Regions from separate parts of the Mus musculus genome. Here regions 1, 3, 4, 5, 6 and 7 are each reported to be linked to region 2. The links are microRNA targets in miRTarBase. Many come from high-throughput screens and were not tested one by one. Region 2 holds a microRNA gene; each other region holds the end of a gene's coding sequence. Distances are between the middles of the regions.

What was found. The annotated mature microRNA mmu-miR-466a-3p reads UAUACAUACACGCACACAUAAGA and lies in region 2 at 1,847-1,869, shown strand. An mRNA with a match to its seed (bases 2 to 7 or 8) in the 3' UTR can be bound and repressed. Matches are read on the target gene's strand: a 7mer-m8 pairs with bases 2 to 8, a 7mer-A1 pairs with bases 2 to 7 and ends in A, and an 8mer does both.
Region 1: miRTarBase lists Rai1 as a target of mmu-miR-466a-3p. Seed matches in the 3' UTR shown: 7mer-A1 at 2,921-2,927 and 8mer at 2,621-2,628.
Region 3: the mRNA of Bub1 is a reported target of mmu-miR-466a-3p. Seed matches in the 3' UTR shown: 7mer-m8 at 446-452.
Region 4: miRTarBase lists Loxl3 as a target of mmu-miR-466a-3p. Seed matches in the 3' UTR shown: 7mer-m8 at 1,970-1,976, 8mer at 1,965-1,972, 8mer at 1,927-1,934, 8mer at 1,895-1,902 and 8mer at 1,889-1,896.
Region 5: miRTarBase lists Nln as a target of mmu-miR-466a-3p. Seed matches in the 3' UTR shown: 7mer-m8 at 2,976-2,982.
Region 6: miRTarBase lists Camsap2 as a target of mmu-miR-466a-3p. Seed matches in the 3' UTR shown: 7mer-m8 at 2,379-2,385, 8mer at 2,228-2,235 and 7mer-A1 at 2,088-2,094.
Region 7: miRTarBase lists Septin3 as a target of mmu-miR-466a-3p. The part of its 3' UTR that is shown has no 7-base or 8-base seed match.

Annotation. Positions count from the first base shown.
Region 1 is chr11:60,197,547-60,201,614 of GRCm38, reverse strand. Rai1 (retinoic acid induced 1) reads right to left here. Exons shown (of 6, transcript NM_009021.2): 5 at 3,777-3,826; 6 at 2,420-3,584. The coding sequence ends at 3,570. Srebf1 (sterol regulatory element binding transcription factor 1) reads left to right here. Exons shown (of 19, transcript NM_011480.4): 15 at 1-35; 16 at 204-369; 17 at 780-980; 18 at 1,078-1,189; 19 at 1,464-2,531. The coding sequence ends at 1,693. Mir6921 (microRNA 6921) reads left to right here and starts at 998; the gene lies at 998-1,077.
Region 2 is chr2:10,474,834-10,478,901 of GRCm38, forward strand. Mir466b-8 (microRNA 466b-8) reads left to right here and starts at 1,795; the gene lies at 1,795-1,880. The region is part of intron 10 of Sfmbt2 (Scm-like with four mbt domains 2); the gene reads left to right. It overlaps Mir669k (microRNA 669k), which reads left to right and starts at 467; the gene lies at 467-593. It overlaps Mir467a-1 (microRNA 467a-1), which reads left to right and starts at 1,513; the gene lies at 1,513-1,585. It also overlaps Mir669a-1, Mir669g, Mir669j and Mir467a-2.
Region 3 is chr2:127,797,546-127,801,606 of GRCm38, reverse strand. It overlaps Bub1 (BUB1, mitotic checkpoint serine/threonine kinase), which reads left to right. Exons shown (of 25, transcript NM_009772.2): 25 at 169-1,407. The coding sequence ends at 364. Among named protein-coding and RNA genes, the nearest start is that of Mtln, 7.1 kb to the right of the region's middle.
Region 4 is chr6:83,050,274-83,054,341 of GRCm38, reverse strand. Loxl3 (lysyl oxidase-like 3) reads right to left here. Exons shown (of 14, transcript NM_013586.5): 12 at 3,898-4,034; 13 at 3,673-3,784; 14 at 1,776-3,542. The coding sequence ends at 3,469. Htra2 (HtrA serine peptidase 2) reads left to right here. Exons shown (of 8, transcript NM_019752.3): 1 at 1-421; 2 at 525-729; 3 at 819-1,013; 4 at 1,272-1,304; 5 at 1,539-1,644; 6 at 1,800-1,869; 7 at 2,505-2,600; 8 at 2,708-3,076. The coding sequence ends at 2,873. Among named protein-coding and RNA genes, the nearest start is that of Aup1, 2.2 kb to the left of the region's middle.
Region 5 is chr13:104,021,161-104,025,227 of GRCm38, forward strand. Nln (neurolysin (metallopeptidase M3 family)) reads right to left here. Exons shown (of 13, transcript NM_029447.2): 13 at 2,279-3,920. The coding sequence ends at 3,786. Among named protein-coding and RNA genes, the nearest start is that of Gm30967, 15 kb to the right of the region's middle.
Region 6 is chr1:136,267,120-136,271,187 of GRCm38, forward strand. It overlaps Camsap2 (calmodulin regulated spectrin-associated protein family, member 2), which reads right to left. Exons shown (of 18, transcript NM_001347109.1): 18 at 1,004-4,028. The coding sequence ends at 3,723. Among named protein-coding and RNA genes, the nearest start is that of Gpr25, 8.2 kb to the left of the region's middle.
Region 7 is chr15:82,290,697-82,294,764 of GRCm38, reverse strand. Septin3 (septin 3) reads right to left here. Exons shown (of 12, transcript NM_001368785.1): 11 at 3,934-4,027; 12 at 191-3,512. The coding sequence ends at 3,459. Among named protein-coding and RNA genes, the nearest start is that of Wbp2nl, 6.3 kb to the left of the region's middle.

The sequences.
Region 1 (4,068 bases), not on the chromosome of region 2:
GTAGAGCATATCCCCCAGGTGCTGCAGGACACTGAGTGAGTCCCCAGCCAGGTCCCTCCCGCCCAGTCAGCCCCGCAGTACTTTGCTTAAATATCTGTACAGGAGGACAGTGCTGTCCTCCCAGGAGTCTAGAACCGTGGCGGGAGATCTCAGGGAGGGCTGTAGTTTGGTCTAACTTCCTATGTCTGCCATGGCCCCAACAGGAGACCCCTGCCCAGGGCAGCTCTGTACTCCTTCAAGGCTGCCCGGGCTCTGCTGGACCACAGAAAGGTGGAATCTAGCCCAGCCAGCCTGGCCATCTGTGAGAAGGCCAGTGGGTACCTGCGGGACAGCTTAGCCTCTACACCAACTGGCAGTTCCATTGACAAGGTGAGGGGTAGGGTGGGTTCCTGTCTAGGCCAGGGTCACAGCTGTCCATTTCCAGGTTCTTGGTGTTAGTACAGAATAATGCTAAATGGATTTACCTCAGTTTTAACGACGGCTTAAGTCTTGGGGAGAGGGGGCTTTACTGTTTCGCCACCACCAGGAAGGAGGGTGTGGGGAGCAGACTGGCAGGGTTCCTGTTGGGAGCCATTGTTGGGAAGACTGCGGGCTTGTAGCAGGAGGCGGTGCATGTGTTGAGGCAGATGCAGTGCTTCAGTGATGCAACCTGGAGTCAGGCCCCAGTGCTGTGGACTTCCTGCCCTTACTGACGCTGCCTTGAGACAGGGTGGCCCTCAGCTAGGGAAAGCTTGATGTCCATAGGGAAACTCCTCCCTCTGCCCTGCCTGCTATCCCAGGCCATGCAGCTGCTCCTGTGTGATCTACTTCTTGTGGCCCGTACCAGTCTGTGGCAGCGGCAGCAGTCACCAGCTTCAGTCCAGGTAGCTCACGGTACCAGCAATGGACCCCAGGCCTCTGCTCTGGAGCTGCGTGGTTTCCAACATGACCTGAGCAGCCTGCGGCGGTTGGCACAGAGCTTCCGGCCTGCTATGAGGAGGGTGAGTCCCACTGTTCTCACACTGAGGGGCATGAGGTAGGAAGCCGGGAGTGGGGGGACAGTAAATCTGAAACGGGTGACTACTCCTTGCCTCTCAGGTATTCCTACATGAGGCCACAGCTCGGCTGATGGCAGGAGCAAGTCCTGCCCGGACACACCAGCTCCTGGATCGCAGTCTGAGGAGGAGGGCAGGTTCCAGTGGCAAAGGAGGTGAGGAGGTGGCTGTGCTTACAGGGCTGGTGAGGGTCAGGGGCCGTCTTGGTCTAGTGAGACATACTGAGAGCTGACTTACAGAAATCAGCGGGGATGACAGTTTTTGAGGCAGTCATAGGAAAGAAGCTGAGCCCCCCTGTGTGCCCAGCCCAAGTGGAGAAAGCAGCCAGACTGGGAGTTCCACGTGGAAGAGCTCAGCTACTTTGTCCTGCACATGGGGTGTGGGCTCGGCCAGACCTAAGCCTCCCTCCCTTTGATGTGATCTGTGCAGGCACTACAGCTGAGCTGGAGCCACGGCCCACATGGCGGGAGCACACCGAGGCCCTGCTGTTGGCATCCTGCTATCTGCCCCCTGCCTTCCTGTCGGCTCCTGGGCAGCGAATGAGCATGCTGGCCGAGGCGGCACGCACCGTAGAGAAGCTTGGCGATCACCGGCTACTGCTGGACTGCCAGCAGATGCTCCTGCGCCTGGGCGGCGGAACCACCGTCACTTCCAGCTAGACCCCAAAGCTTTCCCTTGAGGACCTTTGTCATTGGCTGTGGTCTTCCAGAGGGTGAGCCTGACAAGCAATCAGGACCATGCCGACCTCTAGTGGCAGATCTGGAAATTGCAGAGGCTGCACTGGCCCGATGGCACCCTCTTGCTCTGTAGGCACCTTAGTGGCTTTTCCCTAGCTGAGGCTCACCCTGGGAGACCTGTACATAGTGTAGATCCGGCTGGGCCTGGCTCCAGGGCAGGCCCATGTACTACTTTGACTTTTGCAAACTTTATTTTCATAGGTTGAGAAATTTTGTACAGAATATTAAAAAATGAAATTATTTATAACTTCAGTTTTGTTTATCTGGGTAGGCAGATGTCTGCCTCAGCTGATTGCTATCTTTCCTGGCTTGTCCTTTGGGAAGCCGGACTTCCCATCTGTTGTAAGGTGTATTTGCTGGCTTGGTGATGCTATGTTGAGCCACCTTGGCCCTCTGATCTCATGGCTCATAACCCTTGAGGGGCCTTGATGGTCTCAGTTGTTCCTTTGCCTTCCAGCCCTCCACCAGGTAATAACCCCGTATATCCAGAAACACACACAGTTCCCTAGTCATCTCTGTGCACCAGCATAGGCGAAGGATCAGGGCCCATTAGTGAGTAGACTGGGAACCCTGTTTGTGTCCCCCGGCCCCTTCCCTCTACTCCCAACCCCTTAGGGAATCTGGTCGGCATCCACAGGCCGCACACTTCCAAAACAATCGTGGTATCTTTATTGACTTTTTTTTTTCTGAATGCAATGACTGTTTTTTTTTTTTTTAACTCTTAAGGAAAATAAACATCTTTTAGAAACAGCTCGATACACACAATCTTCAGTGTGAAGCAATATACTAATAAGAACACTAGTTGTCTTAACATTTACAGTCTTCATATATATTATATATATGTATATGTATACATATATATACACTATATAACGAGGCCAGATATAATACACACGTTTACCATTTTACAGTCATATGTACAGAACGTTGCAGGGAGAAGGGGCTGCATCAGGCCTATTAAAGCGTGGACAGAGCTGAGGACACAAACGGACAGGTGGGGGCTGGCCGTGGTGGTGGTGATGGTGGTAGTTGCTCGGGGAAGGGGCATCACTTTGGCCCCGACCCCAGCCAAGGCCAGGTTAGGGCTCTGTGCTGTGGAGCACACGACGCACAGCAGCGACACACAGAAGCGAGCATGTTCCCAACATATATACATTCTATGTAACATATATATAGAGGGGTACACAGGTTTGTACACGAATCTAGCACTGTCTCCGCCTATGAGCCGAGTGAGCTGAGTGGCAGTCCCTGAATCCCATGTTGGTGTTTTGTCTGGGACAGCTGCACATCTGCTAGAGGGTAGCCAGGCCCAGTCTCCTCAGGCTTCCAGACGGGGCTCCAACAGTGGGGTGGAAGACTGGAAAGGGGACAAACAGAAGCCATAGGGCGCCACCCCAGGCCAGCCCGCATCAAGGATAGACTGGCCTGAGCCCAGGCTGCCACGATCTTGGGCAGATCCATGCCAAGTGCTGAGCCATGTCCCCCGCCGCTGGGCCTCTAAGAAAGGCTTGGGTCTGCCCCACGTCGTCCACTGAGCCAGCAGCCTAGCCTCTTCCCAGGGGCACAGCTTGCATGCCACGTCTTTTTCAGAACTTGCAGGGGACTTGCCCCCCGCCTGAGACATTGTGCCCTGGGTCTGGCCACTCCCTGGCCTGCCTTCGCCAAGCCTGGCCCCGGTTTTCTTCGCAACCTAGGCCTCACGCCAGCGCCCAAGGCAGCCGGAACCTAGACCCTGGATGGGATCAAGGACCGGCTGTGGGCGCAGCTCTTCTTCCTCGGAGTTTCGGCCACACGGGGATTACAACGGCAGCCTCTGTGGGAGGGACAGCCCGTTACTGTTATCACCAGCCGCTGCCACCCCTGTCCTTCCACAAGAACTGTGCAATCACCCTAGACTGGCAAAGTAACTTTAGGACCCAGCCTGCACCCCTCCCTACTCTCTGGCAGGGCAGGGAGAAACTGGGTTAGGTAGGGAATGCTTTCTCTGGGGAGCCTGCTCACCTACCTTATGTTTGGGGCACTTCAAAGTAAAATTCTCCTCAATGAACGTGCAACCTGTGAGCAAAGAAAAGTTTCTGTGGTGATGCAGAGCCGGCTGGCTGCCAGTGTTAGTTCTGATGCCCTGGTCTTGCTCAGAACCCTCATTAGTCCAAATCCCCCCAGAGGTGCAGCCCCTCTGCCTCTACCCTGCTATGTCCCTTCCTGGCCTCCACTCCTAGACACCCCCCCTGCCCCACCCCCACCCTGGCCACCACTACCTGGCCATCTCCCTCCTACCCAGGTCTCCCCAAAGGAGA
Region 2 (4,068 bases):
TTGCATTCATTTATACATTTGAATGATATGTGACTTAAAGTTTTCAAGATTATGCAGTAGTGGGACAGTGAATGGTTTTACTCACCAGGTGTGAAAGACTGTGGATCAGGAGTTCAAATTCATGCTTTACTTCATGATGACTTAGAGATATGCCTGGGATTCATGTGATGCCCCCTATGTATCCCTATCTGTATCTGTTTCTATTGTGTGTGGATTTGAGTATATGGCTGTACCTATCTACACAAATATATACATGTACACAGACACAAACAGAAACACACACACAAACATCAGTGCAACTCATCGATCCATTTGAATGACGTGTGACTTAGAGTTTTAAGATTCCTCAGTACTGAATGGGGAGAGGTCTCACTCAGCAGGAGAAATCCCTTGACAGAGTCAGTTGGATCAGGAGTTCAAATTTGTGCTGAATTTCATGATGAGTTCATGACCAGCATGGGATTCATCTTATGCCCACCAAAAATGTGCATGTGTGTATAGTTGTGTGCATATTCACTTCTCTATATGAATATGCATATACACGCATGCAAACACATTCATAGGAATGGCCAGAGCTATATCTCAGTTAGGAGGTGAGCACTCTTGCCAGAGCTAGGAAGATGAGGAGTTCAAATTCATGTTTAACTTCTTGATGTGTTAGAGTTCAGCATGCGATTCATGTGATACCCACCAAGATTTTGCATGTGTGTATAGTTGTGTACATATTTACTTCTGTACATAAATATGCATATACTCACATGCAAACATACTCCCACGAATGATCCGAGCTATGACTCAGTTAGGAGGTGAATACTCTTGCCAGCATCATGAGGATGAGCAGTTCAAATTCATGTTTAACTTTTTGGTGAGTTAGAGATCAGCCCGGAATTCATGTTATTTTCCCTGTGTATGCGTTTATGTGTAAAGGGAAGTGTGCCTGTACATGCGGGTATATGAACATGCATATATATAAACACACCTAGGGACACATACATGTGCACACAAACACACATGGCAGTCATCCATTTGATTTATACGTGCTTAGAGTTTCATTGAGTGTATATTCATGGTATAGGGAAACATCTCATTTATCAGATGAAAACTGCTTGCCAGAGTTAGGAGTCTCAGGAGTTCAAATTCATGCTTAACTTCATGATGAATTAGAGATCACCCTGGATTTGTGGGATGGACCCTAGGTATGTACATGCCCATATATTGTGTGTGCACGTACATGTGTATATATGATCATACATATAAATACACACACATACAAATGTATTCACACACACAGGCATGCACACTCACACACATAAGAATGACACTCATTGATCCATTTGAATGATATATGTCTTAAAATTTTGCTGATTATAAAGTAGAGGGACAGTGAATATTCTCACTCACCAGGTGTAAACAATTGTCAGTGTCAGGAGGATCAGGAGTTCAATTTCATGCTTAACTTCATGAGCAGTTAGAGATCATCCTGGAATAATGTGATGGCCCCTATGTACGTGCCTGTGTGCGTAAGTGCCTGCATGTATATGCGTGTATATTTTATGCATATACATACACACACCTACACACACATGCACACAGACATGCGGGAATAGCCCTCACGGTCCATTTGAATGATATGTGACCTACTGCTTTGGAGGTTATGTATGACTGGGCCAGGGTGAGGTCTCACAAACCACAGGAAACCCTTGGTAGAGTCGGGAAGATCAGGAGTGCAAGTTCGTGGTAAAGGCATGATGAGTTAGAGGTCATCCTGGCATTCATGTGATTGCCCCTATGTATGTGTGTATGTGTTGATGTGTGTGTACATGTACATATGTGAATATGATATACATATACATACACGCACACATAAGACACATATGAGCACACAGACACATGGGAATGGCACTCATCAATCCATTTGAGTGATAAGTGACTTAGAGTGAAAATGCTTGCTAGAGTTAAGAGTATCAGGAGTTCAAATTCATACTTATCCTCATGAGAGATCAGCTTGTGATTCCTCCATGTATGTGCATGTGTGTATAGTTGTGTGTGCATGTTCATGTCTATATTTGAATATACATAACATACACACACACGTATAAACGCAAGCACACATACACAGACACAGGAATGGCATTCGCCAATCCCTTTGAATGATAAGTGATGTAGAGTTTTAGAGATTATGCAATAGGGGGCATTGAATGGCCTCACTCACCAGGTGTAAAAGATTGACAAAGTCAGGAGGATAAGGATTGCAAATTCATGCTTAACTTCATTTGGAGACATCTTGGTATTAATGTCATGCAACCCATTTATGTGCATGTGTGCTTACTTGTATGTGCATTGTATGTGTTGACATGATATACATAACATAAACACACGTGTATCTGCAAGCACACACACACAGGAAAAATTGCATTCATTTATACGTTTGAATGATATGTGACTTAAAGTTTTCAAGATTATGCAGTAGTGGGACAGTGAATGGTTTTACTCACCAGGTGTGAAAGATTGTGGATCAGGAGTTCAAATGCATGCTTTACTACATGATGACTTAGAGATATGCCTGGGATTCATGTGATGCCCCCTATGTATCCCTATCTGTATCTGTTTCTATTGTGTGTGGATTTGAGTATATGGATGTACCTATCTACACAAATATATACATGTACACAGACACAAACAGAAACACACACACAAACATCAGTGCAACTCATCGATCCATTTGAATGACGTGTGACTTAGAGTTTTAAGATTCCTCAGTACTGAATGGGGAGAGGTCTCACTCAGCAGGTGAAATCCCTTGACAGAGTCAGTTGGATCAGGAGTTCAAATTCGTGCTGAATTTCATGATGAGTTCATGACCAGCATGGGATTCATCTTATGCCCACCAAAAATGTGCATGTGTGTATAGTTGTGTGCATATTCACTTCTCTATATGAATATGCATATACACACATGCACACACATTCATAGGAATGGCCAGAGCTATGTCTCAGTTAGGAGGTGAGCACTCTTGCCAGTGTCAGGAGGATGAGGAGTTCAAAATCATGTTTAACTTCATGATGAGTTAGAGTTCAGCATGCGATTCATGTGATGTCCACCAAGAATGTGCATGTGTGTATAGTTGTGTACATATTCACTTTTGTATATGAATATGCATATACTCACATGCAAACATACTCCCACGAATGGCCCGAGCTATGACTCAGTTAGGAGGTGAATACTCTTGCCAGCATCATGAGGATGAGCAGTTCAAATTCATGTTTAACTTTTTGATGAGTTAGAGATCAGCCCGGAATTCATGAGATTTTCCCTGTGTTTGTGTTTATGTGTATAGGGAAGTATGCCTGTACATGCACGTATATGAACATGCATATATATATATATATATATATATATATACATACATATATATATATATACACACACACACAACTAGGGACACATACATGTGCACACAAACACACATGGCAGTCATCCATTTGATTTATACGTGCTTAGAGTTTCATTGAGTTTATATTCATGGTATAGGGAAAAATCTCACTTATCAAATGAAAACTGTTTGCCAGAGTTAGGAGTCTCAGGAGGTCAAATTCATGCTTAACTTCATGATGAGTTAGAGATCACCCTGGATTTGTGGGATCGACCCTAGTTATGTACATTTGCATATAATTGTGTGTGCACGTACATGTGTATATATGATCATCCCTGTAAATACACACACATACAAATGTATTCACACATACAGGCATGCACACTCACACACATAAGAATGACACTCATTGATCCATTTGAATGATATATGTCTTAGAATTTTGCTGATTATAAAGTAGAGGGACAGTGAATATTCTCTCTCACCAGGTGTAAACAATTGGCAGTGTCAGGAAGATCAGGAGTTCAATTTTATGCTTAACTTCATGAGCAGTTAGAGATCATCCTGGAATAATGTGATGGCCCCTATGTATGTGCCTGTGTGCGTAAGTGCCTGCATGTATATGCGTGTATATTTTATGCATATACATACACACACCTACACACACATGCACACAGACATGCGGGAATGGCACT
Region 3 (4,061 bases), 120 Mb from region 2:
GATTTTTAATTTCTCCTGTTTGTGATGGATTCTTGATTTGCTAAGATACAGGTAGATGACAGTTGTTTTTTTAACATGTCCACACCTATACAAAGTAGATGGAGGAACTCGTTGCTATGAACGTTAAGGTTGCATTTTATCCATTGTAATATTTTGTCTCTTTATTAGGCTTCCTCATTTGGATATGTGGGAGGAATTTTTTCACATCATGTTGAATATACCGGATTGTCATAATCTTCCATCTTTGGATTTTCTGAGACAGAATATGAAGAAATTACTTGAACAACAGTATTCCAACAAGATTAAGACCTTGCGTAATAGGCTAATTGTGATGCTTTCAGAATATAAGCGTTCAAGAAAATAAAATGAATATGGACCTTCTCCAAAACACACTTAGTAAATTTAAACTCTCACTTTGAATCCTATTTTTTTCATACTTACTATTTATGTATGTTTAAAAAAAATAAAGCCCATATGATATACCCATGTGACCTAGTTGTTCTAAATACTCTAACAAACAAAGTAAGGAGACCCCTGTAAGCAGGCTGATCTATTGGGTTGCTCTTAGTATACAAATCTTCTTGAGAATGATTCAAATTTAGATGCTTTATAGAAGTTACCTCCCTGCCCCCAACTCCAAGACAATTTCTCAGTATAACCAGAGCCCTGGCTGTCCTGGACTTGGCTGTAGACCAGGCTGGCCTCGAGCTCATAGAGAACCACCCGCCTCTGCCTCCCAAGTGCTGGGGTTACGGGAGTAACCACCATGCCCTGCTAGAAATCACCTTTCTAAACACTGACCTATTTAAGTTAAAAGTAAGCCATAAAAAGAGTTATAAATTATGTTTAGTTAGCGTATGTAGGATTAGGTTTCCTTATGGCATTTTAAGAAAAAAAAATGTTTATTTTTCTTCCCCATACTTTTGACCCCCTTTGTTCTCTTTCACACCCCATAGCTTACTTTCCACTTCCATGTCTCATCTGTCAATGTCCCCTCCTCCTTTCTTAACATCTTTTTCCCTTAAGGTCTTTACTTTCTAACCCCATGTATTTTTATACAAATTTCATGGTGTACATCTGAAAAGAATTTTATTGTGTATGATTCCACATTGTCATTATACAACCATCAGTTGATTGATAAACATCTGGGCTGATTCCATTTCTTTGCTATTGTGAATAGAGGAACAATTGACATGGATGTGCAGGTTTCTCTTGTAAAAGATAGAATCCTTTGTGTGCCCTGGAGTAGGAAGCTAGTTCATAAACAGTTCTAGTTTTCTGGGGGTTTGTGTGTGTGTGTGTGTGTGTGTTGTTTTGTTCTTGTTGTGAGACCACCATACTGATTTCCACAATGACCATACTAGGTCGCATTTCAACTAACAATGAATAAAGAATTTCTGTTTACTCAAATGCACACTGACATTTTTGTCTCATGTTAGAGACATGTTCTGATAAGGGTAAGAAAAAGTAGCTTGGGTTGGTATTTATCTCATGGCTAAGTATAATGAATGCCACGCCCCTCCCCTGCTCTCTTTTTTATTTTTTTATTTTTTATTTTTTTTGTTTTTTTTTTTTTTGTTTTTTTTTTTTCCATTTTTTATTAGGTATTTAGCTCATTTACATTTCCAATGCTATACCAAAAGTCCCCCTTACCCACCCACCCCCACTCCCCTACCCACCCACTCCCCCCCTTTGGCCCTGGCGTTCCCCTGTACCGGGGCACACAAAGTCTGCGTGTCCAATGGGCCTCTCTTTCCAGTGATGGCCGACTAGGCCATCTTTTGATACATATGCAGCTAGAGTCAAGAGCTCAGGGGTACTGGTTAGTTCATAATGTTGTTCCACCTATAGGGTTGAAGATCCCTTTAGCTCCTTGGGTACTTTCTCTAGCTCCTCCATTGGGAGCCCTGTGATCCATCCATTAGCTGACTGTGAGCATCCACTTCTGTGTTTGCTAGGCCCCGGCTTAGTCTCACAAGAGACAGCTACATCTGGGTCCTTTCAGTAAAATCTTGCTAGTGTATGCAATGGTGTCAGCATTTGGAAGCTGATTATGGGGTGGATCCCTGGATACCTGGATATGGCAGTCTCTACATGGTCCATCCTTTCATCTCAGCTCCATACTTTGTTTCTGTAACTCCTTCCATGGGTGTTTTGTTCCCACTTCTAAGGAGGGGCATAGTGTCCACACTTCAGTCTTCATTTTTCTTGAGTTTCATGTGTTTAGGAAATTGTATCTTATATCGTGGGTATCCTAGGTTTTGGGCTAGTATCCACTTATCAGTGAGTACATATTGTGTGAGTTCCTTTGTGATTGTGTTACCTCACTCAGGATGATGCTCTCCAGGTCCATCCATTTGGCTAGGAATTTCATAAATTCATTCTTTTTAATAGCTGAGTAGTACTCCATTGTGTAGATGTACCACATTTTCTGTATCCATTCCTCTGTTGAGGGGCATCTGGGTTCTTTCCAGTTTCTGGCTATTATAAATAAGGCTGCTATGAACATAGTGGAGCATGTGTCCTTCTTACCAGTTGGGGCTTCTTCTGGATATATGCCCAGGAGAGGTATTGCTGGATCCTCCGGTAGTACTATGTCCAATTTTCTGAGGAACCGCCAGACTGATTTCCAGAGTGGTTGTACAAGCCTGCAATCCCACCAACAATGGAGGAGTGTTCCTCTTTCTCCACATCCTCGCCAGCATCTGCTGTCACCTGAATTTTTGATCTTAGCCATTCTCACTGGTGTGAGGTGGAATCTCAGGGTTGTTTTGATTTGCATTTCCCTGATGATTAAGGATGTTGAACATTTTTTCAGGTGCTTCTCTGCCATTCGGTATTCCTCAGGTGAGAATTCTTTGTTCAGTTCTGAGCCCCATTTTTTAAGGGGGTTATTTGATTTTCTGAGGTCCACCTTCTTAAGTTCTTTATATATGTTGGATATTAGTCCCCTATCTGATTTAGGATATGTAAAGATCCTTTCCCAGTCTGTTGGTGGTCTTTTTGTCTTATAGACAGTGTCTTTTGCCTTGCAGAAACTTTGGAGTTTCATTAGGTCCCATTTGTCAATTCTCGATCTTACAGTACAAGCCATTGCTGTTCTGTTCAGGAATTTTTCCCCTGTGCCCATATCTTCAAGGCTTTTCCCCACTTTCTCCTCTATAAGTTTCAGTGTCTCTGGTTTTATGTGAAGTTCCTTGATCCACTTAGATTTGACCTTAGTACAAGGAGATAAGTATGGATCGATTCGCATTCTTCTACATGATAACAACCAGTTGTGCCAGCACCAATTGTTGAAAATGCTGTCTTTCTTCCACTGGATGGTTTTGGCTCCCTTGTCGAAGATCAAGTGACCATAGGTGTGTGGGTTCATTTCTGGGTCTTCAATTCTATTCCATTGGTCCACTTGTCTGTCTCTATACCAGTACCATGCAGTTTTTATCACAATTGCTCTGTAGTAAAGCTTTAGGTCAGGCATGGTGATTCCACCAGAGGTTCTTTTATCCTTGAGAAGAGTTTTGGCTATCCTCGGTTTTTTGTTATTCCAGATGAATTTGCAAATTGCTCCTTCTAATTCGTTGAAGAATTGAGTTGGAATTTTAATGGGGATTGCATTGAATCTGTAGATTGCTTTTGGCAAGATAGCCATTTTTACAATGTTGGTCCTGCCAATCCATGAGCATGGGAGATCTTTCCATCTTCTGAGATCTTCTTTAATTTCTTTCTTCAGGGACTTGAAGTTTTTATCATACAGATCTTTCACTTCCTTCGTTAGAGTCACGCCGAGATATTTTATATTATTTGTGGCTATTGAGAAGGGTGTTGTTTCCCTAATTTCTTTCTCAGCCTGTTTATTCTTTGTGTAGAGAAAGGCCATTGACTTGTTTGAGTTAATTTTATATCCAGCTACTTCACCGAAGCTGTTTATCAGGTTTAGGAGTTCTCTGTTGGAATTTTTAGGGTCACTTATATATACTATCATATCATCTGCAAAAAGTGATATTTTGACTTCCTCTTTTCCAATTTGTATCCCCTTGATCTCCTTTTGTTGTCGAATTGCT
Region 4 (4,068 bases), not on the chromosome of region 2:
CCCTGTTAGCTCCTGACCTCCGGGCTCTGCTGACGTCAGGAACTCCTGACTCTCAGATCTGGATGACTTATGGGACCCCCAGTCTCCCGGCCCAGGTGCCTGAGGGGTTCCTTGCATCACGGGCAGATCTGACGTCTAGGACCCCGGATCTCTGGGCACGATTGAATGTGGGGACTTCAGGCTCCAGTGACCAGGAGGCCCGCAGGAGCCCTGGAAGCCGTCGGCGCGAATGGCTGGCGGTGGCGGTGGGCGCAGGAGGTGCAGTGGTGCTGCTGTTGTGGGGTTGGGGTCGGGGTCTTTCCACGGTGCTGGCTGCTGTTCCTGCTCCGCCACCCACTTCTCCCCGGAGCCAGTACAATTTCATCGCAGATGTGGTGGAGAAGACAGCCCCTGCTGTGGTCTATATCGAGATCCTAGACCGGTAATGGTGAAGTTGACCAGGAGGTGTTGAACTGCCGTTAGTGAAGGCAAGGGAGCAGGATGAGGTGGAAGCTGCAGTGTAATGGGTACTTTCCCCATCCCAGGCACCCTTTCTCCGGCCGTGAAGTCCCCATCTCAAACGGATCAGGATTCGTAGTGGCTTCAGATGGGCTCATCGTTACCAACGCCCACGTGGTGGCTGATCGGCGCCGAGTACGAGTGAGGCTGCCTAGCGGGGATACTTATGAGGCCATGGTCACAGCTGTGGATCCCGTAGCAGACATTGCCACACTGAGGATTCAAACCAAGGTGGGGATGGAGTAGGCCAGATCTGATGGCAGCTGTTCTCTTGCTCCCTTCTTAAAATGACCAGTTTTGCTGGCCTTGTTTCCCTTAAGGAGCCTCTTCCCACACTGCCCCTCGGCCGCTCTGCTGATGTCCGGCAAGGGGAGTTTGTTGTTGCCATGGGAAGCCCCTTTGCACTGCAGAACACGATCACATCTGGTATTGTCAGCTCTGCTCAGCGCCCAGCCAGGGACCTGGGACTCCCTCAAAACAACGTGGAATACATTCAGACCGATGCAGCTATTGATGTGCGTCCTGATATGAGGGAAATTAGGTGCTAAGGTTGGAATTGGGGAGAACAGCTGTTGGGTATGAGCACCAACTGACACGTGGTGGTGACTGGGCCTGTATCAGAGGTTGGGCTGCAAAAGGCAGCCTCTCTAGTTCATGTGCTAGGAATGGAATTTGAAAAATTTCCCTACACCCTGTTTATGTCCTCGGTCTTAGAATTCCCAGAGCATGGGATTCCAGATCTTTTTGATGTTTTCTTTCATTTTATCTCACAGTTTGGAAATTCTGGTGGTCCCCTGGTTAACCTGGTGAGTGTCCGTGTTCTTCTAAGAATCCATGCCCCAGGTTAGTGTGGGAAGTGTGGGTTTTCCTCTGATTTAGGGAATTTTAGCTAAGTCTCTAGTCTCTTGTTCCTCTCCTGGTATACAGACAGACAGACAGACAGACAGACTTCTGTCCCCAAATCCTTGCTACTCTTGTTCAGGTGCCCCCATCCTCTGCCATCTGTGTGGGCTAGGGGACAGGGGGCTGTGTCCCTGCAGGATGGGGAGGTGATTGGAGTGAACACCATGAAGGTGACAGCTGGAATCTCCTTTGCCATCCCTTCTGATCGCCTTAGGGAGTTTCTGCATCGCGGGGAAAAGAAAAGTGAGCCTGTCTTACAGGGAAAGGGGTTCCTTTAAAATGGAGGATGGGACTTAGGGGAGGGCATTCACTGGGGCTTGGTATAGAGGGGTGTGCTGGTAGAAAGTAAGGGAAAGAATGTAGCTGGGGGGCGGTTCATTTGTCCTCTTTTATTACAGATTCCTGGTTTGGAACCAGTGGGTCCCAGCGCCGCTACATTGGAGTGATGATGCTGACCCTGACTCCCAGGTATGTTAGTGTGGTGATATATACATATACATATATATGTATGTTAGTGTGGTGATATATACATATATCTATATATATGTATATATATATACACCTATACATACATACACACACACACCCCTACACACACACCATACACACACCCTATCCTTTTCTTGGGTTTTCTCTCATGTCTGTTTTTTCCTAAGATAAGCTGTTGTCTTCTGTCACAAGCACTGTTCCCTCTCATAACTTTCTCATCCCACTGCATCTGGATCTTTCAGTAGATTGAGTACATCCTGCTATTGCTGTGATGTAAAGCCAACATTGACCTAGCACTGGAGGCCCATTCCCGCCCATTCCCACCCATCTCGTTATCCTTCCAGACAGCTTGCCGTTTCTTCGGAACTACTTTCATTTTCCACTTCTATGTCTCAATACCTTATTTCGTAAGGTGGTAGGACCCACCCTTCTAGGCTCAGCTTAAGTTCTAACCCTTCAGGATGACAGAAGTGAAGTTGATCAACACCATGTATCTTTCGAAATTAGCTATCTTTTATGTGTATATCCCACTTCCTAAGCTCTAGAAGGCAGAAGGTGAACTATTAAGATGGGAGAGGGCCTGTGTGGAGCTAATAGTGTCTGTGCCCTTTCAGCATCCTTATTGAACTACAGCTCCGTGAGCCAAGCTTCCCTGATGTTCAGCATGGTGTCCTCATTCATAAAGTTATCCTGGGCTCCCCCGCACACAGGTGATGGGGAGCGTGCTCTGGGGGGGGGGGTTGGGTGGGATGGGATGGGTGGATGTATCCTTGAACTTCTCTGTCTATTCTCTCCTTGCCCCGTCCATCCTCCACAGGGCTGGTCTGCGGCCTGGTGATGTGATCTTGGCCATTGGGGAGAAATTGGCACAAAATGCTGAAGATGTTTATGAAGCTGTTCGAACCCAATCACAGCTGGCAGTGCGGATCCGGCGCGGATCAGAGACACTGACCTTATATGTGACCCCCGAGGTCACAGAATGAATGACTGGACCGGCAAGAGTGTGAAGCTCTTGCCCTGATCTCCTCCTTGCTTTCCTAGCCTAGGTTCTGAGTGCATGTGGGTAGAGGAGGAGTCAGTGAACCTGCGGAGGGCAAGTCCCTCTAACCGCTGCATCAGTCCTGGGCTCCGAAGAACACATTTTATATAAAATAAAATTATACCTAGCAACATGTTACAGTCAAAAGTGGGGGTTGGATCTTCTCCCCCACCAAATGGCTAGAGGTAACGCGGTCCTTAGGAGAACGGAGAGCGATGGGAGCTGACCCTCTTGACCTCCCCTATTCAAGAGAATGAGCTGCTGCCATCCTGTGTGGGGCAGTTCTTTGTGGTGTGTTCTGTCTGTTGCTGGGGCTGTTGGCTGATTCTCCATGCTTGTTGGCCAAAGGTAATGACAGCTGACCCCGTAAAGGAGGCACCAACTTCTGTTTGACAGTTTGTTGCCTGTAGTGCACAGGTGGTTGAGTGTAGGGCGCCTGCTGACATCAGGGGTTCTTGTGGTAAGCTCCTGAGGTAATGGCAGCCTCAGACCCCTGCCATTGGGGGCCAGTGGTGGTTTACAGAGAGGGTGGTAGCATTTTAGACGATCTGGTTACTAGTCTGGCCAGGGTAGCGCTCAAACCTCCTGTTGGCTTCTTCGCTGAAGGCATCACCTGCAGAATAGACAGGCACTGTGAGGGGCTGTCCCTGCACAGAGGCAAGAGCACACACCCATCATGGGCAGTGACAGCATGGAAGCCTTTCCCTCCTGCCCTGCATTCACCCATCTCATCTGTTACCTACCGATGTGGCAGTTGTGCACCCAGATGCGATGCCCGTCGTATTTGCAGTTACACTTCATTGCATTGTTGGTGAAGTCACTTTCTGCTACCTCAAAATTTGGGTTGATAACGACCTGTGAGTGAGGAAGAAAGCTGGTGTGACCCAGCAGCACTCCGACAGGTCACAGGTGTCCTCATCACTCACCCCAAACCCCAGCATCTGAAAGCTCAGGCAGATGCTAGGCACCTGAAGAATGTAGTTTCCTGGCTTCACATCTGTGATGTCGATCCACTGACAGTCAATGTCATGCCTGTAGAGATCCCAACATCCCACGGTGATGCCCTGCTCTCCAAAGTTGGCGCACTCATACCTCTTGGAGACATCTGAAGGAAGTGTTAGATGTCAGGGAAGGGCGGC
Region 5 (4,067 bases), not on the chromosome of region 2:
AGAAGACCTAATCTAATGAGAAAGGGAGGGTGTGATGAGACAGAGCGACTCACACTGTGGACATCAGGGCGCAGAGGCCTGCTCTTCAGGTTTCCCTCTTCCATTTTATTACACGTGGACTCCAAGGCTGCTGAACATAGGTCTTTCCTCTCTTAATCCATCCTGGAAATTTTTTTTGTAGACACAACTAGAGGTTAATCTACTAGGGGTTCTTGAATCAACTTGACTATCGATGTCAACTATGACATCAGATTCCAGGGAAGCCTGAGAAGCTCCAATTGAAGTTATGCAGGCTAACTACAGATAACTATGACACGAACTATAACCGGTCTGGTTGTAGCATAAGGGAAGCTACACTATGTCAACGCCTTTTCTATTTGTGTGTGCACATTCATGTGCATTTGTGTGTGCCAAAGTACATGTTAGAGGCCAGAGACTGATACTGGTTATCTTCCTCTTATGTTTTGAGACTGGTCCTCTACACTGGGACTCGCGGATTTGTCTAGGCTGGCCATGGAGCTGGCTTGTTTGCTATCCCCCTAGCACTGGGATTGGCACAGTAGTAGCATCTCTTGCCATACCTGGCTTTTCTGTAGATGAAGGGGTTCACGTTTGCCCAGCAGGTATTTTATCCAGTAACCCATATCCCCGGTTCTCAGTGCCCTAAGATGCAGAACACGAACCTGTCACCCAAGTTATGTCTCCCTGACCACTACAGAAAGAAACCTCAAAGCTTACCTGTGGAGGAAATGTCTGTAACACCCATGGAGGACACAGGTTCTTTATGAACCCTCACAAACAGCAGCAGAAAGCGTCTCAGTCAACAGTTAGGAGCTGTTCCTCATACTGAAGTCTTCTATTTTCTAATTGTACCTTTAAGCTCCAACACCGTTAGCCATGACATCAGCTCTCCCATAGTGTGTAAGTATTTGAAACAGTGAGAATTCACTTGAGAATTCACTCTCCAGACGAACTTTCCTCTTGAGGGCTATTTCCAAAGTCATCACCATATTGTTGGTTTCTCAAACACTTGTGATGCTAATTAATACAAGCCTGCTGAAAATGTAGTTCTTAGGATGGGTCATAGTAGCCCATTCCTTATGGGAGCTAACCATATTGGGATCCAGAGGGACTTTCGATCTGGATACAAACATCTTCCAGTTCCCTCTTCAAAGGCTTTGTGCTTCCCACAGGCCCCTCCCTATATGTGCTAAACAGTGAACTGCTACTGATATTTGGCTAGAAGGTCACCAAGACTTTTGGTTGCCAAGTCACATCATCACAGTGAGGTTTTGCCTCTACCTGACAATGGGACTTGATTAATTTTGTTTTATGTTTGTCTTAGTAGAGGAATCTTTCAATTTTAATAACATGTTCATATATAACTATTCCAGCTGTTATTTATATGTTAGTATTTTTTAGTGGATTTTCTTGCTTTTAGCCAAAGGACTTGCTATTCCCCCTCTTTATTCAATAGCTAGGAATCCACTTAGCCAAAGTTATCCAGTCCTATCTCTCAAGCACAAAGGTATGTCAACAGAGACACCAAGTACCTTGATGGGCACAGTGAGCACTTTCTATAAAACTTTCTTAGGTATCCAGCTTCTCTGATGACAAACGCTGCAGACATTGTACCTTGGGAAGAACACTTTAGAGCTGCCTCTGGGTATCTGAAAATCGCCGGTGGAAAGCTTGAGAACAGAGGACGAGCACAGCGGAACAGGGGTACCAAACCTGTTCCTTATGAGGAAATGGAACATGCAGGAATATCCAACCAAATAGAAGCCCAAGCAGAGGGTGGTGGCATCCACCTATAAACACAACACGAGGGGTGGTTGCGCGGCTGATTCGCTGTGCCTTTAACATTAAAAGACAAAAGTACTGTGAGCTCATTCTCACGGACAATGATGTCACTTTATTGTGTGCAGTCAGTCTTTTACACACTGGCTATTAGCTTTTCCAAGTAAAGTAAGATTTATGATGAAGTTATTTTTGAAGGAGACAAACCGGGCAATAATAGAAAAAGCTGAAGAGAGTTTTTTTTTTTCTTTCTTTTTCTCCTTTTTTTTGTCTGAAAGTAGGAAACAAAAATGGGGGTGGGGACAGATGTGAGACGCTTCCAGAGGTTTCTACCACCACCATAAAAGCAGCTGGGAGAGCATAGCACTTGCTAGCATGGGTGAAGAAGCCGGAGGTTTGATGCCCAGCCTTGTAAAAATCAAATCAAACTACATAAACAAAGGGCTTCCCTGCTGTGTACCAGCTCTTGGTACTCTGTATAACTTTATTACACGACATAATATTTTATTGAACACAAAGTCCACCGGGTCTAAAGAACAGACAGGCTCTAATTTCGTTTCCTGCCAGGAAAGTCATTCCTCAGGTATGTGTGGAGAAACAACTCAAAGCCCTGTGGAAAGTCCGATCACAGCTCATTTACATTTTCTCCTCTCTATCCTACTTGGCTTCCGTTTGGAGTAGACTCCCAAGGCTAAAATAATGCTGTGAGCTCACTACTCTGAGCTGGAAACTTAGGTCCCAATAAAAGGAGTTGGAGATCTGGAGGTTCACTTAACAGTCGCCATATGAAACAGCCTGCTGGACAGCCTTTTCCCACAGCTCGGTTGCCCACGGAACACTTGGGAGCAGCTGTTCGCAAACGCTCTGCTCCAACGCACTCTTTTCTGGAGTTTTCAAAGCTAAGTTCCAGTGGATGTCATCTCTCCCCCTGGCACTTCAACACACTGTGACTACAGGGCCGACCTACCACTTTCAGGGAGGCAAGGTCAGAGTCTTATTAGAAACGTGAGAACTGAGCTGAGTGAGGCAGCTCACACCTGCGCCCCTAAGGCTTGGGAGGCCGAAGCAGGGGAATTACCATGAGTTCCAGGCGAATCTGGCTCCATGGTGAGATGGTGCCTCAAGCAAACAAAATAAAAAAAATATATATATATAAGCAAAACAAGCAGAAACAAATACATAGCAAATACTAAAAGTCGAGAACCCAAAAGATGCCTAAGTTCTCTGCTTCTCTCACTGTGACTGCAACCGAAGACTTGACATTTGAGCTTCTAGTGCAAGACACAAAACTTATATACTAGGCCAGTTGAAACAAAATTTAAAAATATTATCTAAATAATAATATTAACTTTAGAAATTAAATTTTAGAAGGGAAAGAACCCCAAATCTAAGTGGAGCTATGTAAGTAAGTGTGACAGAAGCCGAGAATCACAAAGCTCACTACAAAAGACAAACAGCATTGAAGTGTATCCTGCGGGCCTTGACACACACAGGCAAACTGTCACTTAGTTGTGAGGCAGAGGGTCAAGGTTGACACAGGGCTCTGAGAAAATATTTACCAGAGAGAACATGCTGATTCACTTATCAGTCCAGGAATCTCAAGTATAAAACTTCAAGATATAAGAAAGATCAAATTATATCATGTATGTGATTCAATTTAAAATGTCTTAGCCCTCTTACATTATATTATCTGGATTATAACAGTAAAAAAATCAAATTACAGTCATATGAAACTTTTATCAAAAGAAATCAAATCTGTTTTTATGAAACTTTATAGTACAATTATTTTTAGTGGGTCTTTTCTTAGGTCACAGTATTTATAATTCCATTTACATCTGTATAATTTTTAAAATGAAGAAACAAAAGCAAATGAATAGAAATCTAAGTTTTCCTTTGTAAAACTGCCTTCAGTCTCCAGGCCGGCACCACATGGCGGACGGTGTTGGCTTGTCCTCCAGCCACGGACAGCCCCCAGCGTCCCTGCTTTACGAAGCATTCAGGCCTCGACTCATCAGGAATGCTTTCTGGTTTGGCTCACGTTGCAAGAAATTCTGGAGCATGTCCATGCCGTCCAGGGACCCCCCAGGCTTCAGGATTAGGTTTCTGTATTTCATTCCAACCTAATAAAAGAAAACATCATGCCTAATAACTCACGGGCCCAGCAATCCTCCAGATCCCCAGACACAAGGGAGAGAGAGGTGAGGGCGAGGAAAGGGGCTTCAGCTCTACTCGAGTCTAGACAGTTCTGCTCACGCAGCAGCTCGCTC
Region 6 (4,068 bases), not on the chromosome of region 2:
CTCTCCAGTCCTTCCTATCCTTCTATAACACAAATAGAAAACACTGGTCGATGCTCATGTGCAACAGTGACACTAAGTTTTGGTATCTAAGCACAGCACTGCAATGCTGAGGTGCTTTTGAGAAGCCTAGATGCCCAAAGGTGCAAACATGAGATGATTCAAACTCCATCGATTTATACAAACCCCACAAAAACCTGATTTCTTTTTAAAAAGAAACCCTTGTTCTGAAAGCACAGCTCTGGTTTTAAGTAGCACTATTTCTATGGGATGATGGGATTTCACTCATTTCAGAATTTTTTTTCTAATTCCTGGTCATAGGCTTGAGGCTCTTTGATTCATCAGCTTTTCTTCATTATCTCTGTATAGGGGTTAGTAGTGAAGATGCTCCTGTCTGCTGTGGGGCATTTTCCTCGACCCCAGCAGCGTTCACCCGCTTATTAGCCAGGGGGAGGGAAAGCATCATAGTTTATGGATATTCCTCCCTCTGCTGATACACTCAGTTTTTAGGATCAAATGTTTTTATTTTGGAAAATTAAAATACTGGAGACTTATGGAAGTATAGTTGTACTCTGAGGACCAAGTGTCTTTTTTTGTTTATCTTTTGGTTTTTCGAGAGCTCTGCCTGCTTTCCGCCGCCTAAGTGCTGGGAGTAAGATGTGCGCCACAACCACTTGGCTGAGGACTGAGCATCTTACAAAAGAGCTCAGGCAGTGTCTGAGCGCACAGTTATGCATGAGGGTTGTTCTGGCTATCAGGATTTATTTCATGCCTTCATCCGAATAAACTGAGCACAAGTGACAGCTAGAGACTGGTACAGAACTGGCCACTGTGTAGAGGGGCTCAGAGCCACACTGAAGACGCAGTGGTACTCACACCTCACAATTCTCAACTCACTAGAGCCAGTGTGACTGTGTATAAGGAACATAAACATGTGAGAGTCATAGAGACAGATACTTCAGAGCAAAGCACAGAAACTTAACAACACCGCAATGCCACCTCAAAAGGCATTCAAGCATAATTTAATATTAAAAATTACTTAGGTAAATATTCAATTACTAAATTTAAACCTAGGCTGAGACAAGAAAACTTCATGATGTATTTTCCTGAGTCCAAATAACGTTATCAAACACAAGACAAGACAACACGCACTTTATTGAAGAATCAGCGTCAGTTGGTGCCATGCTTTTATTCAGATGAAAGGGGAACTACACTGTAACCCCCAGGAACGAGCAAGCCTGACGGATCATCTGCAGCGCTCAGGAGTGGACAGGAAGCACACTACACACTGCACATCGCCCAACAGTGTCCATGAGTCACATCAAAGAAGGAGACTCTGGCTGTGAGCAGCCAAATACAAACAATAGTCCTCCTAAACAAAACTGAGAAACTGAGAGGAAAACTTTAGAAGTTGTGGTAAGTAGCAGGAGTTGACAGGCCACACTGGTTACCATGACAAGGATTTGGCAGATTTAACTGAGTAGTTACCATGGTAATTTGACCTCCAACGATGACAACGCTTGTGTTTCAGTAAGGTGGATGGAAATCTCCAAACTTTATGGAATGGCATTTTTTCATTTGTATAATTTTAAAACATAATTTAAAAAGCTGCACCATAATAAAAAAAAATCTGCAGACTAAAGAAATATATCTGTATTCCTCTTGCATTAATAAAGTAAAATCTTATACTGAGAGCAATGAACTTTGTGGCAATATTCACATCACACCTTTAGACACTAGACATTCCGCTCAGTTGCTGGATGTACAGATGGAAGAACGAAGACAGGCGAGGTCAGTGTTCATTAGTTCTCTCAATGTCCTGCACCTGACTTTTCTTTATTCAGTACTCAGGTGACAGCCATGAGGCTGCTTTGATAGGGAAAAGACCTTGGTTAGTAGTAGAAAATGCTTATTAAATTCCTTTGTCTATAATTCACTTTGTTTTGATTAAGTTTGTTTATAACTCTTAAACTAATCTTATCGTAAGGATGTCTTTGTTTGCCCATTTCCTTCTAATTGTGATAAAAATTGGTGTCTGAAAGGTAAAATGTGAAATTCCCCGTTTTTAATATTTATATATACACAGTATGTATACATTTAAAATATAAGAGTTACATATCCTGGTCTCTCACATGCAAGCAGTAGATCACAAATAGTCTTGAGCTACACATACATTTTGCACAGGTATTGGAAAAAAATCTGTGAAAAATTTTTTTACAGTTTTAACAAATATACATAAATATAAGAACATAAATTACAGTAAAATATTGACAGCATTTGAGAAAATGTTGAAAACCCAGATGCACTGATCCCTAAAGGCTTTATAATAGAAAAGTACAGCTGAGGGACTTCCCATTCCATTCTTCTTTTTAAATAAGTAAATACATAACATGAGACATGAGTTCCCTCTCTAAACAACTTAATTAGAGAAATGTACATATTTCATCTCTATATCCCATGAAAGAAAACAAACTACTCTCTCACTTATAAACAATGTCTTCCCCACTAGTGTACACAGTTGTCACAACACTGAAACATAAAAGGGCCACACAATCAATCATTCAAGTCTTTTCCTGAGAATGAAGTTTCCCCCCAACTTACTCTGGTATGCTTGCTAAAGAAGAAAGATCATGGAGAGGAGATTTCAAGTGTGCCCTGAATCTAAGCTGTTCCACTGGAAAAGGATTCAAAGGAAAGAAAACCCAGTATAAGTAAAATAACAGGAAGCTACTTTCAAATCAAAATGTAGCCCTTTGTGCATGTTTAAAAATCCTAAATATAATTTCCCTATCGGTTATAAATATAAAGGCCTCCTGAGCTGCCAGGAAGCTGTATGCTTTCATACAGAAAGGCAGCACTCACGTGTCACTCACTCACTTCTGCCACCTTATACAGTGACGCACTTTAAATGCAATACAAAGTGCTCTGTTGTTAAAAGTACAATCTGATTTGTTCTGAGTTGGCAGAAGTGGTGTAGAGACAACCAGCACTGATTTCATCAGCAGCCTCTTACAGGATGTGCTGGGTTAGCTTGTGTGGTCTGCAGGGGACCCAGCAGCAGCTTTTAAACACCTCCTTACTAATAGAGAAATGTTAATACTTGTGTGAATAATAAATACAGAATGTAAATACTTAGAAGGATTCTTGCAAATACTGTAACACCATCAGAACACGAGGGCTACTGTAAAACTAATACTAGTGTCTCTCTTACCATCATATGAAAGGTGCAAGGTACTTTTCAACAGGAACTTTCTACTTTCATGATCTCCACATAAAACAAACACAAAGGCAGCTTAGAATAACCCCAGGAGAGGGAACAGAACGACGACAACAACAACGAAACCATTTGACGATGTGCACACACAGTACAGGGGTAAAAAGAATACATCACATAATTGCCATCTAGCCACACCTCAAGCCTATGTCCCGCTGTGTCCATGAGAATTCAGTGCTGCACGGTCTCTAACACAGGCAGGTGAGCCTGCTAGCATGCAAATCTCCGCCTGTGAATCAAAGCATTTCCTTCATCGCGTGGACTTATCACCTAGTAAGAACCGTCGGCATTCCAAACACTGTGATTACATTCCAGTTGTTCACAACAACAGAGTTAAGGTCCAGTTTTAATTGATAAAAATCTTGTTGGCAATTAGAAAGGTTTTTCTATAGGCAGGAAAGACGAAGTACAAATTTACCACAAAGGTTCTGAAGCGAGCATCTCCTGCTGCCTATGCTTTAGTGGGTAAGAGTTTTTTTGGGGTTACTGGTCTCTTGGTCTGCCATAAGTGGCTATGAATGGTAATCGCATCCACGCTAGCAGATAAAGTTTTAGCAGGTATGTGGCTAAACTGTTTTCTGTCAGAATTGTACTTGTAAAGTCCCTCAATCATCTTTTTAGTGATAGATTTAGGACCTATCCCAGTCAGTTTATTGATTTCTTCAGTTTCTGGGCAGTAAGTATACAAAGACCTGAACTGGCAGCCTGAATCCCGGAACAAGATTAAGAAGTTGTTGGCATCTGACTTCTCCATTTCCTTTAGAACAGAAAACAAAAACAAGATAACAATGAAGCTG
Region 7 (4,068 bases), not on the chromosome of region 2:
CCAGGAAATGACTGGGATATAGCCTCACATTACCCAAAAAATGAATAGATGCCACATGTTCAATATCTAATATCTGTAGCTACTTCTTGCCTTGCCAGGAGGGTCCCTGGCTCACACGCAGTGAGATGATGTCATTCACGGCTGATTTTATCAAGGAGCAAGAAACACGAATAAGACAAAGACCAGGCCATTATTGTTCAAACAGTAATGTTTAGTTGTACAACAGAGGCTAGCAACATCTACATGACCAGTCTGAGTGTCTGTTTGGCTTGTTTTCAATTGGGAAACTAAACTGGAATATCACCAAAAACGTCGGCTGGGACTAACAACGTTTTTAAAATGGGCCATTCTTGCATCCCCGAGGCTTGGGCCTCTTGTTCCTTCAGGACTTGTAGATGAATGGCCCACAAGTCACCAGCCTTTGAGCAAGTTGTGTCCAGGTGGAGATGGCAGGTGGGGTGGCTGAGGGAGGGTTCTAGAAAGACACAGTGTATGGGGCAGTGGCAGCCGTTCGTTCGCAAACATTCATGCATCTGATGGGGGCTTTGCCCTCCATTTGGGTATTTTCCATTAGCCTATAGCGACCACCTGTGGTCAGGCTAATGCATTGCTCACATTAACAGGGTGGGGGATGGGAGTAGGAATAGTCAGGGGAGGTGGGAAGAGATCCCTCTTATTGCTAAATGTATAAAAGGGTGCTATTTTTCTTCCTAGAGTGTATAGCTGGTGGGTTTGGGGTAGTCCATATGTGTGTTAAATTCCCTTTCTTTTAAAGTTTGGGGATAATTAAGTCAACTCCAGCAACCTCTTTTCAGCAAAACCCACTTCCCAGATGGCCATATTTTGGGGTAAACAGGTTGTCTACACACATACTCACTGGGCCAGCCACCAGTGGTGATTTTTTTTTTTAAGTGACACTAGCCTCTGGCTCCCCACCATGTATAATGAATCACCCTTATAAAATACCTTTAAGCAATGAAGGAGACACCCTTGTCCCACACAGGGGCTCACACGGCTGACCTCAGTGACTCTGACAAGCAGGAAAGTTGCTTTCTTGACCGGTTAAGGTAGCCAAGAAAGTACTCATGCAGAATGAATGGCTAGAGAGCAATGCCGGTTCCCTTGGAGACAGTTACAAGTCGCTGGTATGCGCTTGCAAGGGCAGGAGCAGCTTCCCATGAGTTCCTCCTCCCTACACAAGGACTGGGGTGCTGCTGACACAGATGATGGAGCAGGGTGGTGCTGGCAGGAACTCCATTCCATTGGGAGGAGAGGAGTAGTTTGGCTAAACAGAGGAAGCAACTGTCCTAAAGCCGCAGCTAGCCCCTCCCACCTACTGAGGGCTGAGAGGGGCTGTGCTGGTGGGCTAGACAAGCACAGCGCTAAAAGGGGCGTGGCCCTGCAGCAATAACAGCTGGGAGGGATGAGGGAGAAGCAGCACTTGAAATGGCCTTCATTCAGCAGTGGGGCAGGGGGTGGCTGGTACAGGTGGAAGGACAGTGCCCAGGAGGCCTTCTCCCTGCAGGGGGAGTTGAGAACGGTTGAGGGTGTGGAGACCGGCAGCCGGCAGCAGACACATAAAACAGCTTCTCCAGGGAGAGTGAGACCACAGCTTAGTGGAGACAGGCAGCATTCTCCTACTTAGACTCTCCAACACCCACCATTCTTATCCCTTGCTGGCCCTAGGTGCCCAATCCCATGTCACCATACAGGGCAGCTCACTAGAGCTGTCAGCGAGCTCTATGTTGCTACCACTCTAGCCTGACAGCTGGCCACTCTTTAGTGACGTTATAGATGAGGACTAGAGACAGAGCAGTCTCCAGGAAAGGCTAAGACCATAGGATTAGGACCACTTCTGCTTGGTCCACTGAATTGTGGGTCTTCCATCTCTTTTTGTTTTTTGTTTGTCTGTGTGTTTGTTTTCCTAGTGACTGGGTAATAAAGGGCTGAAGTCAGTGAAGACCAGTTCTACACCCAGGCTGGACCGGGAGGTGGCATAGTGGATAGATCAGTTCTAAACAGAATTTTGTGGTATCTTCCCTTTCCTATGGCTAAATGGCTTTCCTTAAAGCAGCCTTAGAAACTGTAGGGAAAAAAAAAAAACTTGAATGTGCAAGGAGCAGTTAAAGTATGCATTAATAAATACAAGGCTCCTGAGAAGGCAAGAGAAGGCTAAATGTATGGCTGTGGGTATTCCTGGGAACATCTACAGGATTGGATGGTGAGAGAATGCAGGGAGGGGAGAAGCCGAGAAAGACAGACAGACAAATGAGAACAGAGAAAGAGTGAGTTGGGTTTGTAAGAAACAAAGCCACAGAGAAGCCAGCTTAACATGGACAGAAGGCTGCTAGAAAACGGGAAACTGTGTTAGTTTGTCTCACAAGTCCAGCCGCCTAAGAAACTCTGTATATTTTTTCCGATTCTTCAGAATTAGTTTGTGAATATAATTTCCTCCACCTAAAGTTTGCCTCATTTGCCCAATAGATGTGCTTCTTGAACAGAACACCCAGAGCAGCCCAAGCTACCAAATTCTCCCATTTCCCCAGGCTATTCCCAAGTCAGAGCAAATTTCAGTGGTCAGCTGCAGAAACTGGCTTTCCTAGTCATCTTCTCTATAACTGAATTCTCTTGCAATCTCGGCATGCCCTGCCCCATGCTTTTACTTAGGATCTTATTCTTTTAAGGGTTTTTTTTTTTTTTATCTTATGCGTATGAGTGCTTGTCTATGTGTATGTATGTACACCATGCTCATAGAGGCTAAAAGAGGGTGTCAGGTCCTCTGGAACTGGAGTCACAGATAACTGTAAGCTACCAAGAAGGTGCTGGGAACTGAACCTGGGTCCTCTGCAAGAGCAAAAGGTCCCCCGAAGCACAGAGCCATCTCTTCAGCCCCTAGCTGTGATTCTATCTTAGGGTAATAGAAAGTCAATTTAGAAAGTCTGGGCATGATTTCTAAATATAGAAAGGAAGCTAACATAGATGACTCTAAAAGGAGATAAAAGGTCAGAGACAGGCAGGAAATGGGGTGAATGCATGAATATATATGAAGAAAGGAGGCAAAGGACGCTGGGGAGGGAGAAGAGAAATCAGGACGAGGAAGCAACCAACCAGCCTGGAAATACAGGGAAGGCGGGCACAGAAAGCAGTGGTTTGCAGCGGTGATGATCCGCTGTTTGACAGTGACCCCAACATAGACACAAGGGTGGAGCTCCATTTTCAGACACCAATTCTGCAGGAGCCCCTCAGCTTTCTTCTCTGCTCCCCACGAATCTTCTGTTTCCCCAAGAAGTCCTAGCCTTCCTCCAGATTACCTCAACTTACAGTGAAAAGTTGTTCTGAGCTCCCACAGCCCACCACAGGCTAGCTCAGCCACCAGTCCATGAAGAATACTTGCAGCCCCAGTTTGTGGGTGGGTCAGAAGTAAGAAAGAGTTGCCTGTGGCTCACCTGCTCCCAGCATTATAAATTAAAACCTTCCCCAGACCTCTTGAGTGAGGCGCACAGCTTTTTGTTCTGGAGCACAAGAAAAAAGGAGACAGAATGGAGAGTCATGGAGAAAGCAGACTTACAAAGGACTTTCCAAAGAGGGCAATGAAAATACCTCACCCCTGAGTACACGCATACATACACACACATGCATACACACACACAGGCACTCTCCATCACACACACATACACGCAGGCACTCTCCATCACACACATACACACATACATACACACACACACACACACACACACACACACACACACACACACACTAGACAAAATACTGCACAAATACCAGACAGGCCTGGGGGACAGAGCTGAGAGGAGGTGGTGGCTGGAGGTGGTATCTAGGATGTGTGTGTGTTTGGAGAAGGGGGATATGTATGATAACACAGAGAAGGGCTCATCACGGGTTACTGTCGTGGCTTTCCTCTGTGTCCACGCTCACCGGAGGGAGGCCTCCATTGTCATTGAGCCTCTTGGCCCTGTAAGTCTCATAGTGGATGTTGTGTGTTACTTCTTTGAGGTCCTGGAGGTGAGTCCTGAAGGGACACAGAGTAAAAAAAGAGAAGCAGATATGATT